3 linked regions of the Anolis sagrei genome follow. The protein of the gene in region 2 purifies or fractionates together with the protein of the main gene of each other region. This does not show direct contact. Links are inferred from orthologs where the notes say so. Each region holds a gene or a part of one and is shown on either strand. Other genes may lie near its edges.

Region 1 (7,261 bases), on a different chromosome or scaffold from region 2:
CAAGCATCCTCAGAGGTAGTGAGGTCTGTTCGAACTAGGAAAAGGGGTTTATATATCTGTGGAATGACCGGGGTGGGACAAAGAACTCTTGTCTGCTGGAGCTAGGTTTGAATGTTTCAACTGACCACCTTGATTAGCATATAATAGCTAGACTACCTAGAGCAAACTTTTGTTGAGAGGTGACTAGGTGTCCTTGTTTGTTTACTCTCTGTTGTTGTGCTGTTCTAATTTTGAAGTTTTTTAATACTGGTAGCCAGATTGTGTTCATTTTCCTCCTTTCCTCCTTTCTGTTGACATTGTCCACATGCTTGTGAATGTCAATGGCTTCTCTGTGTAGTCTGACATGGTGGTTGTGAGAGTGGGCCAGCACTTCTGTGTTCTCAAATAATAATCTGCTGTGTCCAGGCTGGTTCCTCAGGTGCTCTGCTATGGCTGACTTCTCTGGTTGGAGTAGTCTGCAGTGCCTTTCCTGTTCCTTGATTCGTGTCTGGACACAGCAGATTATTGGAGAACACAGAAACACCACCATGCTAGGCTACACAGAGAAGCCATTGAAATCCACAATTTCAACAGAAAGGAGGAAACCATGAAAACAAAATCTGGCTACCAGTATTAAAAAAAACTATAAAATCACAACAGCACAACAGCAGAGAGGAAACAAATAAGGATCAACAGTGACAAATGCAAGATACTCCACTTTGGCAAGAAAAACGAAATGCAAAGATATAGAATGGGGGACAATGCCTGGCTCGAGAGCAGGACGTGTGAAAAAGATCTTGGAGTCCTCGTGGGGAGGAAGGTAAACATGAGCCAGGAATGTGATGTGGCAGCAAAAAAAGCCAATGGGATTTTGGCCTGCATCAAGAGGAGCCTAGTGTCTAGATCTAAGGAAGTAATACTACCCCTCTATTCTGCTTTGGTCAGACCACACCTGGAATATGGTGTCCAATTCTGGGCACCACAATTCAAGAGAGATATTGACAAGCTGGAATGTGTCCAGAGGAGGGCGACTAAAATGATCAAGGGTCTGGAGAACAAGCCCTATGAGGAGCGGCTTGGGGAGCTGGGCATGTTTAGCCTGAAGAAGAGAAGGCTGAGAGGGGATATGATAGCCATGTATAAATATGTGAGAGGAAGCCACAGGGAGGAGGAGGGAGCAAGCTTGTTTTCTGCTTCCCTGGAGACTAGGATGCAATGGCATAATGGCTTCAAACTACAAGAGAGGAGATTCCCTCTGATCATGAGGAAGGACTTCCTGACTGCGAGAGCTGTTCAGCAGTGGAACTCTCTGCCCCGGAGGGAGTGTGGTGGAGGCTCCTTCTTTGGAAGCTTTTAAACAGAGGCTGGATGGCCATCTATCAGGGGTGCTTTGAATGCAATATTCCTGCTTCTTGGCAGAATGGGGGTGGACTGGATGGCCCAGGAGGTCTCTTCCAACTCTTTGATTCTAAGGACATCTAATCACCTCTTAACAAAAGATTGCTCCAGGCACTGTCAGGCCATCAAATGCTAATCAAGGTCGTCAGTTGAAACATTCCCACCTAGCTCCAGCAGACAAGAGTCCTTTGTCCCACCCTGGACATTATTTCAGATACATAAACCCATTGTCCTATTTCCAACAGACCTCACTACCTCTGAGGATGCTTGCCACAGATGCAGGCGAAACGTCAGGAGAGAATGCCTCTAGAATGCCCGAAAAAACCTACAACAACCCAGGGATTCCGGCCATGAAAGCCTTCGACAATACATTGGTCACTACATTTTTGTTTATATAGAAAATGTATGCTTTTGCTGAGTGTATTTTAATATATGGTGATAAGGCTTGGGCGAGACTGGATGGGCCGCCTCCTCCAACCCCATTCTGCTGTGCAGGAAGAGCACCATCAAAGCCCCCCCGAGAGATGGCCGTCAATAACAATAATGACAACAAGGATAACAGAGTTGGAAGCGACTGGATGGGCCTCCAACCCGCAGGGGCCTCCGAAGCGGCCCTCCTTCTCCTTCTTCCGCGGCCTCCCCGCCCTCGAGGCCCGCCCCTACGGAGCCCCCCGGCGGCGCCCTCTCTCCCGCTCCCACCCGGGCCCCGGCCGGCCTCTCCCCCGCGGAGGATGGCGCCGGATGAGGCCTTCCCCCCGGACCCACCATGGCTGCACTCTCGCTCCTCGCTCCTGCCCAGGCCGGAAAAGGAAGTCGAGCATGCGCGCAGGCCTCCATATACAGGCCCCGCCCTCCCGGCCTTCGACAACTTCCGGTGAGAGCGTGCCCGGCTTCCTCTCCACCTCGAAGGCGCTTCCGCGCTTCGCTGTTGCCATGGTGATAGAGAGCCAGGGCGGAGCTTAGAGATAGCAAACCTGTAGAAGAGCGGCCCATAGAGAGATAACGAGACTAACCTCTGTGTACTTGAAAGCCCTGGAGGAGGCAATCTACCTTTGATCTCTATCATATCAGTATATTTATTACAATCCATTTCAATATATGAAAAGAAGATATTTTAATAGATTGCATTGAATGTTTCAACAGAGAGGAAACAACCAGGCACAGATTAACACCTCCCAGCAAGAGATTTTCCCAGGCTCAGGCAGGCCTTCAAATGCTAATGAAGGTGATCAGCTGAAACATTCACACCTAACTACAGCAGGGAAGAGCTCATTGCCCCACCCCAGCCATTCCACAGATATATAAACCCATTGTCCTAATTCCAACAGACCTCATTCCAACAGACCTCACTACTTCTGAGGATGCTTGCCATAGATGCAGGCGAAACGTCAGGAGAAAATGCCTCTAGAACATGGCTCTATAGCCCGAAAAACCCACAAGAACCTAGTGATTCCAGCCATGAAAGCCTTCGACAATACATTGTATTAAAATATACGTGTTTTAATAGTATTATATTAATATATTTGTTATATGTATACTTTTGGTCTGTGTGTTTAATATGGGTGTTTTATTAATATAGTATTATATTTATATATTTATTCTGTGTATGTTAATATATGTGTTTTAATAATATTCTATTAATACATTTATTACCTGTATACTTTTGCTCTGTGTATTTAATATGGGTGTTTTAATAATATATTACTACATTTATATATTTATTTTGTGTATGTTAATATATGTGTCTTAATATTATTCTATTAATATATTTATTATATGTATACTTTTGCTCTGTATATATAATATGGATGTTCTATTAATATATTCTTACATTTATATATTTATTCTGTGTTTGTTAATATACATGTTTTAATAATATTCTATTAATATAATCATTATATGTATACTTTTGCTCTGTATGTTTAATATGGGTGTTCTATTAATATATTATTATATTTATATATTTATTCTGTGTATGTTAATATATGTGCCTTAACAATATTGCATTAAAACATTTATTATATGTATATTTTGCTCTGTATATTTAATATGGGTGTTCTATTAATATAGTATTATATTTATTCTGTGTATGTTAATATTCATGTTTTAATAATTCTATTAATATATTTATTACGTGTATACTTTTGCTCTGTGTATTTAATATGGGTGTTCTATTAATACATTATATTTATATATTTATTCTGTGTATGTTAATATATATGTCTTAATAATATTCTATTAATATATTCATTATATGTATACTTTTGCTCTGTGTGTTTAATATGGGTGTTCTATTAATATATTATATTTATTCTGTGTATGTTAATATTCGTGTTTTAATAATTCTATTAATATATTTATTACGTGTATACTTTTGCTCTGTGTATTTAATATGGGTGTTCTATTAATACATTATATTTACATATTTATTCTGTGTATGTTAATATATGTGTCTTCATAATATTATATTAATATATTGTTACATTTATATTATACTCTGTGTGTTTTAATAGTGTTATATTAATATAAATATTATTATATTTATATTTTAGTCTGTGCATTTTAATATATGTCTTTATAATAATAATAAATAGTCTTATACTAATATTATACTTAATAGTCTTATACTAATATTAGTATATGTATATGTTTGCTCTGTGCCTTTTAATATATGTGTCTTAATTGTATTATACGAATACATTTACTATTATTGTGTTTTGTTCTACTAACCCTAACCCAGTGTTGCTGAGAGATCCCCAGCTGGAAACAGTGCCAGTCTTCCTTCTTTTCCCAGCCAGGCCCCGCCCCTTCCGCTCCGCCGCGCGGTGCATGCCGGGTCTTGTAGTCTCGAAGGGGAGGGAGCGCCTAGGAGACCGGAAGTGGCTTCCCTGGGAGACCCGGATGTGTCCAGAGCGTTGAGGGAGAAGCCAGGCAGGCAGGCGGGCGAGCGGCGTGATGTCGGCGACGGAGGAGGAGGAGGGCGGCGGCGGCGGAGGCAGCGGCGGGGGTCCCGGGCTGTTGCTGCTGCTGCGCTCCAGGGACGCCGAGGAGGATGAGGTAGGTGCACACGGACCGGGCCCCACTTCCGGTCCCCCAGGGAGGCCCACTTCCGGCCTCACCTCAGCCGGCCCCCTCTTCCTTGGGACTGCCTTTCAGACCTTTCTCCCAGGACTCCTTCTCTCAGCCTCGTCTTTGGAGGCTCAACAGGCCCAGCTCTTTAAGACGCTCCTCATAGGGATTATTCCTGTTCTCCAGGCCTGGGATTCTTGGAATCTCCCTCTTCCAGCTTAGAGTCAACGACCAAGGCAGAAAAGAGTGGCCCCAGGACTTCCCTCCATCTTGACCAGGAGTCCTCAAACTAAGGCCCGGGACTTGCCGTATCTTCACTCACTTCCTGAGACCACAGAGACACTCATCCAATTACCAATAAAGACAAGACTTGCAACACAAAGCCCCCATGACCCATTCCACATCGTGGCAGAGTTTCAAGGAGGAGGATGGGACTTCAAGTACCTCCACTCACTTCCCAAGACAGCTGCGACCCACATCCAATGACTAATTATGCACACAGAGCCCCCATGACCCACTCTTCATCCTGGTGCAGTTTAGAGGAGGATGGACCATGGATGATGGGACTTGAAGTACCTCCACTCACTTCCTGAGACAGCTGCAACCCACATCCAATGACTGATCAAAACCAAACTTGGCACACAGAGCCCCCATGACCCACTCTACATCCTGGTGCTGTTTGGAGGAGGATGGACCATGGACGATCATCATCATCATCATCATCATTTAATAACTTATTAAGCCAGGTCTTAAGTGCGAGAGTAAAAGGCCCTAAGTCACGCATGGCTCTCAAGTAGGGTGGCAAGGAATTCCACAAAGCAGGGGCAGAAATAGGGAAAGCCCATCTACGCCTGGTTCTTTCCAAGGGCACTTCTCTAGGACACGGTATATGGAGTAAGTTGCATTGGGCTGGTCATTGCGGCCTCCGATGATGGGAGAAGGAGGGGCCACGGTACTCAGTTGGAAGCCAATGTCAATGTTGCAGGACTGGTGCTCTATAGCATTTCATGGGCATTCTTGTGAGTAGCCTGGCTGCCGCATTGTGAACAATACGGAGCTTTCGGGTTGTAGACATCGGAAGGCCCACGTACAGGGCATTGCAATAGTCCAGCCTAGATGTAACCGTGGCATGGATGACCGTTGCCAGAGCCTCATCAGATAGGTAGGGTGCCAGTTGCCTCACTTGTCGTAGATGGAAAAAGGCCTGTTTGCTGGCAGCAGCGACCTGAGCTTCCATTCCAGCACCAGGATTGTGGCGCAGCTGGCTGAGTGTCAGCTGCATTAAGATCACTCTGACCAAAAGGTCATGAGTTCGAAGCCAGCCCGGGCTGGAGTGGGTGTCCAGCCATTGTGTAGCCCGTTGTCGACCTTTGCAACGCGAAAGACAGTTGCATCTGTCAAGTAGGAAAATAAGGCACCACCTTGTGTGGGAGGCTAAATTTAACTAATTTATGAGGCCATAAAGAAAAAAGACTCCGGGGAATGTGGAATGTGGAAGAACTTCATCGGTGTCGCTGATGGACGATGAAAAGCAGCAGCTCCCCTGGCGGCCAGAAAAATGTTAAATAGCCTTGGTGTATTTGTGTGTTAGACGTTGTTTGTCAAAACTGGCATTGAATGTTTGCCATATATGTGTTGACTGTACCCTGCGGGGTGAGAAGGGCGGAATATAAGAACTGTAAATAAATAATAAATAAATAAACATTGTCAGCTGTGAATCCAGGACGACACCTAAGCTCTTAACAGTGGGCGATGGAGATAGAGCAGCACCATCGAAGGTGGGTAACTGATGAGTCAGACGATGGGACTCACAGTACCTTCAATAACTTCCTGAGACCACTGCAAGCCACATAAATAGCCTGAAGAAGAGAAGGCTGAGAGGGGATATGATAGCCATGTATAAATATGTGAGAGGAAGCCACAGGGAGGAGGGAGTTTCCCTGGAGACTAGGACACAATGGAAGAATAGCTTCAAACTACATAAAAGAAGATTCCATCTGAACATGAGGAAGAACTTCCTGACTGTGAGAGCCGTTCAGCAGTGGAACTCTTCGCCCCGGAGTGTGGTGGAGGCTCCTTCTTTGGAAGCTTTTAAACAGAGGCTGGATGGCCATCTGTCAGGGGTGCTTTGAATGCAATATTCCTGCTTCTTGGCAGAATGGGGTTGGACTGGATGATGGCCCAGGAGGTCTCTTCCAACTCTAGGATTCTATGATAAAGTCCAACCTTGGCACACAATGCGTTTCCCAAATAACCCGGGCACTGCTGGGTCCACAAGTTAGTAAATAATATAAGCTACCTTGAGTCCCCTTCTGGGTTGAGGAAGGTGGGGTATAAATAGGTACATAAATAAATAAACAAATAATTTTTAAATAATATTTTTGGTGAATGTGTCTTTTACAGTGTTGTAATAAAATAATAATAATAATAATAATAATAATAATAATAACAATAATAATATATATACCCTGCCACCATCTCCCGAAGGGACTCGGAGTGGCTCACAAAGCACTCAAAGGTGCAAACACACAAAATACAACAAGTGCATAAATAACATAAAAGCAATAATAGCCAACATATCATCATATATAACCAGCTTCGAGCCATGAGGAGAGGCAGGCAAGAAATTAAATTATTACTATTATTATTCCTGCTGCTTTGCCTGCCTCCCTGCAGAGCGTAACGGCCTCTTTTTTTCTCCCTTCCCCCCCATCTGCAGGGCCAGAGCGAGGAGCCCCTGCAGCTCAACCTGGGGGAACTGGACCTCACCTCCGACGAGTTCATCCTGGATGAAGTGGACAGTGAGTACAAAATG
Region 2 (7,139 bases):
CTTGCTGACCAAAAGGTCAGTGGTTCAAATCCAGGGAGCAGGGTGAGCTCCTTCTGTTAGCCCCAGCTTCTGCCAAACTAGCAGTTCAAAAACATACAAATGTGAGTGGGTACTGCTTGGGGGGAAGGTAATGGTGCTCCATGCAGTCCTGCTGGCCACATGATCTTGGAGGCATCTACGGACAATGCTGGCTCTTCGGCTTTGAAATAGAGATGAGTACCACCCCCCAGAGTTGGACCCGACTAGACTTAATGTCAAGGATAAACTTTTTCTTTATTGTATATTTGTGTTGTCAATTCCTATGATAGCACTAAGGTTTTGAAGACATTGAAAAAGACTCTCAGTTTTAAGGAAGATGCTTTTCAATGCCTGTTGAAAGTGAAGAAGTATCAACACTTATACACAGAGCAAATAGCGACGGAGGGTGGTATATGCCTGCTGTCTTGTTTTTCACCTCTGTTTACTAGATCTATGTAACTCAAGGTGTTTTGCTTCTTGTCTACGTGAAAAAGTCACTTCCAAGTTTTCACTAAAAGTCTTTAGTGTGCTTTATTACCATTTATTTTAAAAGGGAGCACCATGATGCTTCTCAACCTCAGGATGCCTTACAAAGAGACATGAGAGTCAGCATCAAGGAGTCTTCTACCAAATTTAGCTAAACTTTTTGTCTCTCTATTATTCTATACATACAAGATGTATAATTGATTCTATGATTCTAAGATGTATTATCTGCAACAATAAAAGTACATTTTTACCTTTGAAACCCTTACCAGAGTATCCTGTGCATTTTCTCTCCTCTTTCCTACCACAAGTTCATATACCGCACTCTACTATAGATACCATATATTTCAACAATGATAGCTTTTGAAATAAATACATTTAGTCTCTGGGTAGAGGCCTAGATGAGTCCATCTGCTTAGGATTAGTGGGGGGGGGGGGGGAAGAAGGAAGGGTAACATTTTGTTTCTGTTTCCTTAGTTACTTACCAATAATTAAATTAATAATAAAATATATATTTTGAGTATATGAGGCTCTATGAATGGATCAAAGTGTAGAAAAGTTATGTTCTAGAATCCCTTAACGAGGGATTTCTCACCCTCAGGGTGAGAAAAGCGGTATACAAATACTGAAATAAATAAATAATTTTTTTGTTATCTTGAAGTTTTATATGGATATTCTACTTTGGAAATTATTATTATTATTATTATTATTATTATACTTTATTTGTACCCCGCTAGCATCTCCCGAAGGACTCGATGCGGCTTACAAAGGCCAAGGCCTCAACACACAATATAACAATACAAAGAAAGATGTCAGAAGCATTGCAAGTTGTTCCTCCCTAGCAATTCCTTCCCACTGAATTACTCCTTTCCCACTGGAGATAAGACAGAATGGCTCCATTGGTTTGGTACAGGTCCAATCTACACCCGGACACCTGATTGGGCCTGACTGAAGTCCTCACAGGGGCTTCATTTTGCCAATCTATATGAACACCACCATTTTATTACAGCATTGTATATAATGAAACTTTAGAGGTGACAGATTTTGGTACCCACAGAGTTTTCCTGGAATTGACCACCAGCTGATACCACAGACCTATTGTATACTGAAAAGTTGTAAATTACAGCCCTAGAATATGAATGCAGCAAATACAAGAATTCTAAATGTGGAGGAGTTTCAACTATGTGGAGGAGTTTCTCTACAGGGCTAAACATTTGCATTTCTGCAGTAATACTGTCATTTTTAAGTGCATCCACACTGTAGTAGAATGACTGCAGTTTGACACCACTTTAATTGCCAAGGCTCAATACTATGGAATCCTGGGAGATGTAGTTTGGTGTAGCACCAGAACTCTTTGGCAGAAAAGGCTAAAGAGGTTGTAAAACTACAAAATTTATAAATTACAATTAAAATGGATAAAATACACAATATATAAAGATAAAAATATTAAAACAATATAATGTAAGGTAATAGAAAATATTAGGTTTTTTTTAAATCCTACGTATGGAGACTTTGGGGCTACCCTACATTTCTTCTTATTATCATTCATTTATATTATGTTTGTTTATATTAATTTTATTATTGTTATTTTAAGTTATTAGGATTAGGTATTATTGTTGTTTAAATTAATTTATATTATTATTTATATTATGTTATTGTATATTAGTTTCATATTATTTATATTATTTTATATTGTTGCCTATATTATTATTGTTGTATATTTTCATTATTTTATATTATTATTGCTTTGTATTATCATTAAAGGTAAAGCTGTCAGACTCTGGGGGGTGGTGCTCATTCCATTTCTAAGCCAAAGAGTCGGCATTGTCCGTAGACACCTCCAGGGTCATGTGGCTGGCATGATTGCATGGAGCGTCATTAATCTCCTGCTTGTGCGGTACCTATTGATCTACTCACATTTGCATGTTTTCGAACTGCTAGGTTGGCAGAAGCTGGGACTAAGAGCGGGAGCTCACCCTGTTCCCTGGATTCAAACCGCCAACCTTTAGGTCAGCAAGTTCAGCAGCTCAGAGGTTTAATCTGCTGCACCACTGGGCATCATTATTTTTAAATCAAATATTTATATTATTGTCGAAGGCTTTCATGGCTGGAATCACTCAGTTCTTGTGGGTTTTTTCGGGCTATATGGCCATGTTTCGGGCTATATGGCCATGATTGATTATGATTCAAACAAGACGAAGCGGATTTTTAGCTTAATTAGCCGTGTGTTAGTAAGATGTGTGTTATGGTCCTAATCTATTGTAATTGTTGTCTTTATGTTCTGTGTTCTGTACACTGCCACGAGTCGCCTTCGGGCTGAGAGTGGCGGTTAACAAATGCAAATAATAATAATAATAATAATAATAATAATGTTCTAGAGGCATTTCTCCTGACGTTTCGCCTGCATCTATGGCAAGCATCCTCAGAGGTGAGGACCTCACCTCTGAGGATGCTTGCCATAGATGCAGGCGAAACGTCAGGAGAAATGCCTCTAGAACATGGCCATATAGCCCGAAAAAACCCACAAGAACTGAGAGATTTATATAATTGTTTATATTAGTTCATATTATTTCAAATTCTTGCTTATAATCTTATTATTATTATTATTATTATTATTATTTTTTATATTCTCATGATTTCTATTATTTATTTATTTGTATTTATTTATTTGTCGTGTCAGAGCAACCAGTCCATTATATTACATTTCTAACAGAACAAAGCAAACAAACAGAAAAATACACAACTTGTGAGTTTGGTAGCTGGTTAAATGTCCTTTGACCAGTATCTGGCCATTTGGAGTGTTGCTGCAAGAAGGTCCTCCATTGTGCATGTGGCAGGGCTCAGGTTGCATTGCAGCAGGTGGTCAGTGGTTTGCTCTTCTCCACACTCGCATGTCGAGGATTCCACTTTGTAGCCCCATTTCTGAAGGTTGGCTCTGCATCTCGTGGTGCCAGAGCGCAGTCTGTTCAATGCCTTCCAAGTCGCCCAGTCTTCTGTGAGCCCATGGGGGAGTCTCTCATTTGGTATCAGCCATTGGTTGAGGTGCTGGGTTTGAGCCTGCCACTTTTGGACTCTCGCTTGCTGGGGTGTTCCAGCGAGTGTCTCTGTAGATCTTAGAAAACTATGTCTAGATTTAAGTCGTTGATGTGCTGGCTGATACCCAAACAGGGGATGAGCTGGAGATGTCTCTGCCTTGGTCCTTTCACTATTGGCTGCTACTTCCCGGCAGATGTCAGGTGGTGCAATACCGGCTAAGCAGTGTAATTTCTCCAGTGGTGTGGGGCGCAGACACCCTGTGATAATGCGGCATGTCTCATTAAGAGCCACATATTATTACTAATATTAATAATTATTACTAATATTATTACTAATATTATTACTAATATTATTATGTTTGTTGTTATTTGCCTATTAGACACCCAGGCGGAAGGGCAAAACAGACCAGAAAATAAACCTCCAACTAGCAGGTGACTCTCCCTTTAACAGAAGACTTCTTCCCTGCTGGAAAATCAGAGGCTAGGCAATATATGAGTTTAGTATCACGGGAATTGTAGTTCTGAAGACCACGCTCTCTGAAGCATGGCATAGATGAGCTGTTCGCACTAGGCCTACAAATCCCATGAAACACCGGGGCACGGGAAGCAAGCGGGTCACGTGAGGCCCAAAATGGCGCCGCTGTGTCAGAGCGTTCCGGGCCCGGTGGCTGACAGAAGAGGGTGAGGAAGGCCAAGAGGCTGGCGCTGGGCTGCGATGCAGAAGATCAAGTCCCTCATGACCCGACAGGTACGGGGAGCGGGAGAGGCCTAAATTGCCGAGGAGGGCTGCGCCTCGAAGCGATCCGGACAAAAAGGAGCAGCAGGCGGGTCCAGGTTGGGCTGAATGAATGCTGCTGCTGCTGCTTTAAAGCAAGGCCGGACTTCCTTGGCTTGGTGTGGCACCCTTTCACAAGAAACATAGCGTGTGTTTTCAGGAGGAAACAAAATCCCAGAAACCAGTAGACAACCAGTTAACGGGTATCCATGAGAATTGGTAGATGGCGAATAAATGTCATTTCTGGTTGCTTGAGAGTTGCTATTAAAGATAGGCCTAACTCATACTATACCCCATATTATACCGTACCATGAACTCTGTGTTGACGTGATATCAATATTAAATTACCGTAATTAAAAGCAAATTAAGACAAATAAGGACAAATTTAATTTAATGTGACACAGTTTTAGAGTATTATTTATTTATTTACAGCATTTATATACCGCTTTTCTCACCCCGAGGGGGACTCAAAGCGGTTTACACATAGATAATGGCAAAAATTCAATGCCTTACCACTACAACAGTAAAGCCACACTTTAAACATAAATCATATTAAAAACAGTACATCATCAAATATCAAAACAGTTATTAAAACCATAAAACAATCCCATCAGTCGAGTCACCATTCCAGTCCTTGTCCCACTAAACCCTGCATACATCTATTGTCTGAGGCCTGGTCCCAGAACCATGATTTTCATTTTTTTCTAAAGGTCAGGAGCGAGGGAGCAGATTTTACCTCCTTTGGGAGTGTGTTCCATAGGCGGGGGGCCACAGCTGAGAAGGCCCTGCTCCTTGTCCCCGCCAGCCGCATTTGCACTGTTGACGGGAGCGAGAGCAGGGCCTCCCCGGATGATCTTAAATTGTAAGGTGGGACATAAGGGCAGATGTGTTCAGACAAGTAAGCTGGGCCCGAACTGTATAGAGCTTTATAGGTCAAAAACAGCACTTTGAATTGGGCTCGGAGATGGACCGGCAGCCAGTGGAGCTGGCATAACAGGGGGGTGGTATGCTCCCTGTATGCCGCCCCAGTTAGTAATCTGGCTGCTGCCCGTTGAACTAACTGAAGTTTTCGAACTGTCTTCAAAGGCAGCCCCACGTAGATCTATTATAAAAACAATGAACACAGTTTACTGCATTATTTCTACAATATATATCAGGCATCAGCAAACTTTGGCCCTCCAGGTGGTTTGGACTTCAACTTAGGAATTGTGGGAGTTGAAGTCCAAAACACCTGGAAGTTTGCCCATGCTTGGGGTGTATGCGTTGAACAAACGTTTGCAAATGCAGAGTAACTGACACAGGAAAATGGAATGACTAGACAATGAGTCCGAACAACATTTTTAACAAGGAGACACAATGAATTATATTTTATTGATTTGTTTAGTTTTTATTATATGTTACGTTTTTAATTGTATTTATGACATTGTAAGCATTGAATTTTACCCTGAGTCGCCCACGGGCCGAGAAAGGCGGTATACGTATACAATAAATAAATAATAAAATTTTATTTATACCCCGCCACCATCTCCCCTAGGGGACTCGGGGCAGCTTACATGATGCCAAGCCCAACAACACATCAATAACAACAAAGCAGCAAGCAAATAAAACAGTACAATTAATATAGCTCACATATATTAATTGTGAGCACCCCCAAGTCTGCTTTGCTCAGACATCATTTGGAATGAGTTTCAATAAGGAAAAATGAGCAGAAAAAATGAAATGCATAGATCTAGGATGAGGGACACCTGGCTTGATAACATTACATGTAAAGGGGATCTAGGACTGGGTTATTGTGAGTTTTCCGGGCTGTATGGCCATGTTCCAGAAGCATTTTCTCCTGATGTTTCACCTGCATCTATGGCAGGCATCCTCAAAGGTTGTGAGGTCTGTTGGAAACATTTTCTGAGTTTTCCAACCGACCTCACAACCTTTGAGGATGCCTGCCATAGATGCAGGCGAAACATCAGAAGAGAATGCTTCTGGAACATGACAATACAGCCTGGGAAACTCACAACAACCCAGTGATTCTGGCCATGAAAGCCTTTGACAATACACAGATCTAGGACGCTTTGTAGGCCACAAGCTGGACAGTGTGTTATGGCAACTAATAAAGCCAATCCATAGGAGTATAGTGTCGACATCAAGGGCAGTCATAGTCCCAGTCTATTCTGTTTTGGTCAGGCCTCACTTGAAATACTGTGTCCACTTCTGGCATCACAATATATGGAAAAGTTTATGAATTTTGTTGTCTTGATTGGTTGAGCATTATTATGCATACTGTATTTTTGTTGTTGTTGTAAGCTACCCAGAGTCGATTTGGAGAGAGGGGGTGGAATATAAATAAAGTGTTGTTGTTGTTGTTGTTGTTGTTATCTGGAACCCAGTTCAAAGCAGATATTGTCGGATTTTCTGCCTTGATATTCTGAGATGGAGGGCTGTATGATATTATTGTATGATATTAGCAAATAGGTTTGTCACTGTTATTGACATGACAGCCATCTTTCAGTAATTTCAAGATGGAGTAAGCTTGTTTTTTGCTTATCTAGAGGTTGGCACACAAACAATCAGATTCAAATAGAAATCTGATTATTTGTGTAGAAAAGAGATTCTGTCTAAACATTAGGAGGAACTTTCTGATGTTAAGAGCAGTGGAATGGCTTGCATAGGGGATGATGGACTCTCCTTCATCAGAGGTCTTTTAACTTGGTAGCAATCTTGCAGAAGTGCTTTATTATGTATTATTTCCTGGAAAGCGGTTGTACTAAACGGACCTTGGAGTCCTTTCCAACTCAAATGATTATGTGGTAGCAAACAATTTATGGAAGCTG
Region 3 (7,630 bases), on a different chromosome or scaffold from region 2:
TAAAGCACAGCCAGAATTTAAACTCCCTTCCACTATTACATCTCCTTGCCTCACTTCTTCTGCTGCCCTTCTGCCTGTCCTTCCATGTCTGACCAAAGGGCAGTAAAGGGAGTGATGCCAAGAGCAGAGCTGGCAGGAAAGAAGAATTTCCTGCCAGCAGTAGGAATAGGGTGAGATGGTGGATTGGTGGAAAGCGATTTAAACTCCAGCAGTCTTCATCATGGGAAGGTTGTAACAAGAATAAAAAGTTGGTGCTATGGGACAGCGAGGGAAGGTCAGGTGGATTGAAAGGAAAGGATTTTAAAATCTGGTAGCAGAAGGAGTGAGACAAGGGAATGAATCAGCCAGAAAGGGTTTAAGATCTAGCTGAGCCTTCATAGTGGGAAGGCAGTAAATGGAGTGAGGAGATGGCGCTGATTGCAGGATAGAAGGAGCAGCTCAAGGAGTGAGGCAAGGAGGTCAAACTTGTTAAGCCGAAGATTTGCAAAAGAGAAACCTGTGAATGTACTTCAAATATACTGATCCTAAGCTATGAAAGTTAAATTCAACCCTTGAATTGGTCCTGGAAATAGACCAGAAACCAATGCAGCTGTTAGCGCTGAAACAGGATGTCATAATATCCAACTTTATTGATCCTACTTGCCCTTGGTCTGGCATTTCAAAGATAAAAACTATGAGACCTTGGGCTCAAGCAGCACCTTAGAAGCTTTAGTCTCTCTGTTTTAACCAAACACAATTTAGCATATTGTTGAAACCCATGAAAAAATATACATACAGCTCCCATCAGTCCTAGTCATGTTGACTAATGGCGAAAAATACAGGAGTTGTAGTCTAGCATCTGCCAGGCAGAATAAAATGAAATGGCGGGCTGGATTCTGTCCATGGACTTTGAGTTTGACACATATGATCTAGAAACTCCTAGAGAGAACATCTCTATAGGAATCTCTGGTAGATGTTTACCATGGATTCACCCTAGTCTTAACAGATTCCTAGAGAGATGCTCTCTCAAGTAAAAATAAAAGCGTTTTTGGCAGCTTTCTCACTTTTGCTGGGGTTCTGCGTCCATCTTACCTTATGGAACAGTATGTATGTAGGTATGATTCTAAAATGCCATTGATTGTAAAATAGGCACTAATTTAAGTACCACGAACAGAGGGAAAAAAGCTTTATTTATACATACAAAAAAGCACCTGCAATCCCAAGCCACACCCCAACTGTTGACATATTTATATGGAAAAAAGCATATCCCAAAATCAAGGAAATATTGTTTTGAGAAAATAAAATATTGTTTTATATGCATATGACTTCTCTTTTTAAATATGATGCTTCTTAGCTAATGTATTTGATAATCAATAAGAGATAAGATATGTGCGTGGTTCCATAAATTTTCAGTTTATGTTTTGCCTGCAATTATTATTACACACACATCAAGTCTCCTATTGGAAATAGCAACCTTCTACAAGCCTTCTATACTAGTTATTTGCTATTTATATAATTCAGATTACTTACTATATTGTAAATATGTGTATTGGTATACCTAATTTGTCTTGCACGAATACTAGTGGATATATACCACTAAAGAAAAGATTCACTCAAATGAGTTTTTAGCTCTTCTCAGGATTATCATACTTTACAAAAAGGTTATAATCATTACAAATTGTGTGGATGCCAAATGTCATAAATAAATTGTAAATAAATAATCTCCAAAGGGTCGCACTTCCAAAAAGGCTTTGGAGATTCTGGTTTTCCAAAAGGTTATGATGTCAAAGGTCATTCTTTCCCAAAATCTCCTTTGTGTAGAGAAAAGGTGGGATATAAATATACATAATAATAATAATTTCTTTTTAAGAGCCCTAGAAGAAGGCCATTATCAATATATCCAGGCCAAAAAAACATCCATTGGGCTTATTTGAGAGACACAATCTTTTACACATCCCCTGATTCCATAGCACTGAGCCATGGCGGTTAAAATGGTGTCAAACTGCATTAACCCTGCAGTGTAGATGCACCACAAGGTATCTCATGATGCAAATACAGAGATTCCAAAATACATTGAAAAATTTGAAATCCAATACAATTTCAGGTAAGTCATACTCAACTTGTATTTATAAAATTGTACGTTTTGCATTTACAGATGCATTTGGTGTGAGGTTCGGCCCTTCCCCACTGCCATATAACTCAGAATATCAAGGCAGAAAGTCCCACAATATCTGCTTTGAACTGGGTTATCTGAAGCCCCTTCCACACAACTGAATAAAATCCCACATTTTCTGCTTTGAACTGGAATATATGTCAGTGTGGACTCAGATAACCCAGTTCAAAGTAGATATTGTGGGATTTTCTGCCTTGATATTCTGGGTTATATGGCTGGGTGGAAGGGCCCAAGTCCACATTGTGATATAACCCTGTTCAAAGCAGATATTGTGAGGTTTTTTGCCTTGATATTCTGGGTGATATGGCTGGGTGGAATGGCCCAGAGTCCACTGCCATATAACCCAGTTCAAAGCTGATTTTGTGGGATTTTCTGCCTTGATATTCTAGGTTATATGGCTGGGTGGAAGGGCCCAGAGTCTACTGCTATATAACCCAGTTCAAAGCTGATTTTGTGGGATTTTCTGCCTTGATATTCTGGGTGATATGGCTGGGTGTAAAGGCCCAGAGTCCACTGCCATATAACCCAGTTCAAAGCAGATATTGTGGGATTGTATACAGTTGTGTGGAAGGGGTCCTAGATTATAGGAAACATGTGTTGCTGCTGTTCACAGCATTCCCCTTCCTTTCCAATTACCATGCTGATCATGACACGACAAAAAAAAAACCCTCATTGAAGCCCCTTCTTCCCCATTACCTGGAACTCGAGCCCATAAATCACGGGAGCATCATCCTCCATGGCTTCCGGGAAGCAATCCCCATTCAAAGCCCCATAGGGAAAAGGCGAAGCTCACAACAAGTGCTTGCACGTCCCTCGCCGGCTTCCGTCTTTCTCTCCACTTCCTGGATGGAAAGAGACGCTCCGTTCACGCAGCGGCAGAAGAGACGGCGGCTGCAGTGGGACCGTGAAAGCGGGCGCGCATGCGCACTCGGTGGGTTTCCCTATTTCGCCTCGGAGGCCTTGCCGGTGTTGCTGTCAGTGGAAGTAAGTGAGGCCAAGAAGGGGCCAGGCACGTGTATTTCTTCGCTTTGGCTGGCGCAGGGAAGGGAGAACACTCCTGTGGGGTTTGTGATGCTGCCTGAGCCCCTGTTCAGAGGATTTCAACTCTCTCTTTCTGTCCCTGTGATTATTGGATATTGAAAAATGCGGCTTGTCGTGGAAACAAGGATTGGTGCCAAAGCTGCAGTGGAGACACTTTCCCCCCGTGATAAACTCTTTCAAGAGTCAATTTCCCTTCCAAGGGGGAGATTTGTCTCACTGCGTTGCCATAGAATCCCGTTTCTATAATATATTGTATAAACATATAATATTGATAATATTATAATGTAATACAATATAATAATAATATGATATTATAATTATGTATTTTATCTTATATGTAATATTACTAATAATATTACAATATAATAGTATAGTGCAATATAGTAATATATAATACTAATATTGTGCTATGGTAATAATATAATATACTAGCTTTCGGTTGACAACTCCTATGATATATGGCCTGTATCATGACTTGAATTGTCATTCAGTCTGATGTCCTATATTATATTAACTGATCCTGTTAATTTGCTCTGTTTCCATGATTTTTCCTATGCCGTTATACATTGTCATCTACCTTATTAAACCAACTATCATTTAACTAGTTCACGTAGTGGTTTTCCTCCCCCCCCCCCCTCCAAAATTAGTCTGCTGGTATTGTTATTGCTAGCTATTTTTATTATGTTGTTTTATGCTGTTTATATTGCTTTAATTGTTATTGCTTTATTTTAACTGTATTCTGCCTGGGCTTGGGTTCCATGTTAGCCACCCCAAGTCCCTTCGAGGAGATGGAGGTGGGGTAGAAAAATAAAGTTCTTCTTCTTCCTCTTCTTCTTCTAGCTGTACCCGCCATGCGTTGCTGTGGCCAACTTTTCCTCCCTCTTTCTCTTCGTTCTTTCTCTCCTTCCTTCCTTCTCTTCTTCTTCCCTTCCACCCACCCCCTTTTTTCTTTCCCTTCACCTTTCTTTCCTCTCTACCTTCTCTACCTATTCTTGGACTGCAACTCCCAACAGTCCTCCTGATCCATCCATCTATCTACCTACCTACCTATCTCTATCTAATCTATCTATCTGGAGGATTGCTGGGAACTGCAGTCCAGGAATAGGAAATTGGAAATATGCAGGGATTGGGATACTCTCAAAGAAGTCCAAGGAGAAGGAATCTTGCAGCTTGGAAGCAGTGCATTTGAATCATCCCCTTCTCCTAAAGGGTCTGGTCTAGGAAATGCTGGGAGCTGTAGTCTGGAGGAGAGTGTGGATATGCTATTGTGTGTTTTGTTCGCCAGGGGAAGTCGTTTTTGTGCTGTGGTGTCTTTTTGCTTTTTTGGTTTCTAAAGTCTTTTCGGCTGTGTTTTTCAGTGTTTTTATGAGTGATGGTCACTCGTTGGCCTGACAGGTGCATTGTGTCCAAATTTGGTGTCAATTCGTCCAGTGGTTTTTGAGTTATGTTAATCCCACAAACAAAGATTACATTTTTATTTATATAGATTGTATTTACATATTATTTGTAAACCTCTCTGAGTCCCCTTCAGGATGAGAAGGGCAGCATATAAATGTTGTGAATAAATAAATAAATTTCTGAATCCAAATTATCTACTTTGAGTTGGATTATATGGTAGTGTAGAACTGCCATATAATCCAGATAATCTGGATTCAAAAAAAAGGATGATATGGCAGTGTTGATCTGGCCTGAGACTGTCGTACTTTGGCCATATCCTGAAAAGAAATGGCTCACTAGAAAAGGCAATACTGTTTGTTAAGGGGGAAGGCAGCAGGAAAAGGTAAAGACTACACTGCAGAGGGATACACTCAATCATAAGGGTGCATCTACATTTATGCTGTGGTTCTCAGCCTGTGGGTCCCCAGGTGTTTTGGCCTACAACTCTCAGAAATCCCAGCCAGTTTACCAGCTTTTAGGATTTCTGGGAGTTGAAGGCCAAAACATCTGGGACCCACAGGTTGAGAACCACAGGAATGAAGCATTTTGATCCCACCTTAATTGCCATGACTAAATGCTACAGAATCCTGGGAGTTATGGTTTTACAATGTCTTCAGCCTTCTCTGAGAAAGACTGTTTGTGCCGCACCAAACTACAAATCCAAGGATCCATAGCATTGAACCATGTCAGTTAAAGGGGTGTCAGACTTCATGGATTCTGCAGTGTAGATGCACCCTGGGTCTGCAAGACTTCAAGAAGGGTGTTGGCGATAGGATTACTTGAAAGTCTCATTCACAAGTCAACATTAAGAGCAACAATTCATTGCTATTAATTATTATTGGCATGTATTGTCGAAGGCTTTCATGGCCAGAATCACTGGGTTGCTGTGAGTTTTCCAGGCTATATGGCCATGTTCCAGAAGCATTCTCTCCTGATGTTTCACCCACATCTATGGCAGGAATTCTCAGAGGTTGTGAATTCTGTTGGAATGTAGACAACTGGGGTTTATATATCTGTGGAATAATGTCCAGGGTGGGAGAAAGAACTCTTATCTGTTTGAGGCAAGTGTGAGTGTTGGAATATGTTTTTAAAGGTTTTAATGTATGTATGTTGTAATTCTGTTTTAAATGTTGATTGTAATTTTTAAATTATTTTAATGTCATCAAATAGTTGCCTATGTTGTAAAGCTACCTTGAGTCACCTTCGGGTTTGAAAAAGGTGGGGTAGAAATATCGTAAACAAATAAATAAATTGGCCACCTTGATTAGCATTGAATGGTCTTGCAGCTTCAAAGCCTGAGGGAATCCTTTGTTGGGAGGTGTTAACTGCCCCTGATTGTTTCATGTCAGGAATTCCCCTGTTTTTAGTGTTCCTCTTTATTTACTGTCCTGATTTCAGAGGGTTTAAAAAAATATATTATTGGCATGTATATATTGACCCTTTACTTCAAACTGTGGGAAAATACATATAACATACACTTCCTGAATTTTATTATACAAAGATGTTTGTTTTATTAAAATGATAATAATCTTTGCAAACATATTAAAGAAAATAATTTGTCACATATTTTTCTATTTTAAGCATCCAGAAACCCACCCCTGCTTTCTCTTCCAAAAAGACAAGTGTTGTACATAGTGAAGCCAAACCTGACAGAGCTGAATTTGGGAAATTATTTTTCAGTACCTGAAAACTGCATTTTTGGGATGGCTCAGTTCAAGTTGCTTTCAGCTAAAAATTTATAGCATGCTTTCTATGCTCTCCATGGCAATGCTCAATTTGAAATGGAATCCCCTTCACTACATATTTTCTTTTACATTTCTTTGTCTTCTATCATTTCGTGCACCATTATCATATTTTTGGCATGCTGGATTCCCCATATTCCTGTAAAGAATACTTTAGTGTCCTCCAAGTGTTTTAGACTTCCACATCCAGGAATCCTAGCCAGCTTACCAGCTGTTAGAAATTCTGGGAGCTGAAGCCCAAAACGCCTGGAGGACCAAAAGTTGGGAGCCACTGGTGTAGAAGAACAAATATTGGATATTTCTGCAATTCAGTATAAAGGCATATCCTTGCTTTGAAGTAACTAACTGCAAAAGTAAATAAGACACGTCTCATCAAAATCTATGACATTTATTGCAGTGTTTTGACCTAGTAATCCCTCTGTCTCTCTTTTGAAGTCTACCAGCACCAGTGTTTTGCCACGATTCTTTGCCAGATAATTTAGACAGTACCCACTATATCATCAAAGCTCTGATTGGTAGCAGCGCAATAACTCAATCCAAAAGAAATTTCAAGCAGTCACTTGAATATGATATGAAATGATATAAGTGATTATAAACTTCAAAGTAATCTCCAGCCAGAGCAAGCAATCACAAGATGAAGTTGTGATTTAAGACAGTGAATAGAGTGCACAAATGCCAACTCCATCCCATGGAGTGTCCCTCCCGGGACCAAATCTCTTCATGTGAGAGCAATTTTTTCTAGTGCTGAAAGAGAAATCCCACTCCTTGTTACATTGAGCAGCAATTGAAGATATCAGGGCATCTCCAAGTGAGGGATATAGCCCATATCTGGGGTAGTTGTCCTTTTAAGCACTGGTGAGATGAGTGGCATAGGAAGAAAACGTACAGTGCAGCTGGTGTTCGGAGGAGCTGGTCCTCCAAAGCTAGGTATGTCTCTTTGCCCACTGCATGACCTTCTACGGCATGGTGAATGACAACAGAACTGCCTTGTAGTACCCAAGAACTATATGTGTGTACTCAAAATGAAAAGAGCTACTTCAGTGGTTCTCAACCTGTGAGTCCTCAAATGTTTTGGCCTACAGCTCCCAGAAATCTCAGCCAAATTTACCAGTTGTTAGGATTTTTGAGAATGGAAGGCCAAAACATCTGGGGACCTACAGGTTGAGAACCACTGAGCAGCATCTAGAACTAGTCAACAAAATTTGCAGGTTTTTTAAATGGCTAGCTTTAGAGGTACTAATACCAGTTCTACCCTCTT

The links.
Region 1: the proteins of VPS50 (region 2) and VPS52 purify together in Homo sapiens (affinity purification with mass spectrometry; 4 studies listed by BioGRID and IntAct, counting the BioPlex papers as one, with this or other methods). This does not show direct contact. The link is inferred for Anolis sagrei from reciprocal best matches to the Homo sapiens genes VPS50 and VPS52.
Region 3: the proteins of VPS50 (region 2) and EIPR1 purify together in Homo sapiens (affinity purification with mass spectrometry; 4 studies listed by BioGRID and IntAct, counting the BioPlex papers as one, with this or other methods). This does not show direct contact. The link is inferred for Anolis sagrei from reciprocal best matches to the Homo sapiens genes VPS50 and EIPR1.

Annotation. Positions count from the first base shown.
Region 1 is NC_090022.1:1,928,111-1,935,371, reverse strand, and holds the start of VPS52 (vacuolar protein sorting-associated protein 52 homolog), read left to right. Parts: upstream 1-4,248; 5' UTR 4,249-4,332; coding exon 4,333-4,434; intron 4,435-7,165; coding exon 7,166-7,247; intron 7,248-7,261. Other genes in the region: RPS18 (small ribosomal subunit protein uS13), read right to left, coding at 2,143-2,214. UniProt on the Homo sapiens protein: Acts as a component of the GARP complex that is involved in retrograde transport from early and late endosomes to the trans-Golgi network (TGN).
Region 2 is NC_090026.1:102,220,696-102,227,834, reverse strand, and holds the start of VPS50 (syndetin), read left to right. Parts: upstream 1-4,135; 5' UTR 4,136-4,251; coding exon 4,252-4,284; intron 4,285-7,139.
Region 3 is NC_090021.1:119,250,667-119,258,296, reverse strand, and holds the start of EIPR1 (EARP and GARP complex-interacting protein 1), read right to left. Parts: upstream 3,014-7,630; 5' UTR 2,891-3,013; coding exon 2,849-2,890; intron 1-2,848. Other genes in the region: TRAPPC12 (trafficking protein particle complex subunit 12), read left to right, coding at 3,073-3,136. UniProt on the Homo sapiens protein: Acts as a component of endosomal retrieval machinery that is involved in protein transport from early endosomes to either recycling endosomes or the trans-Golgi network.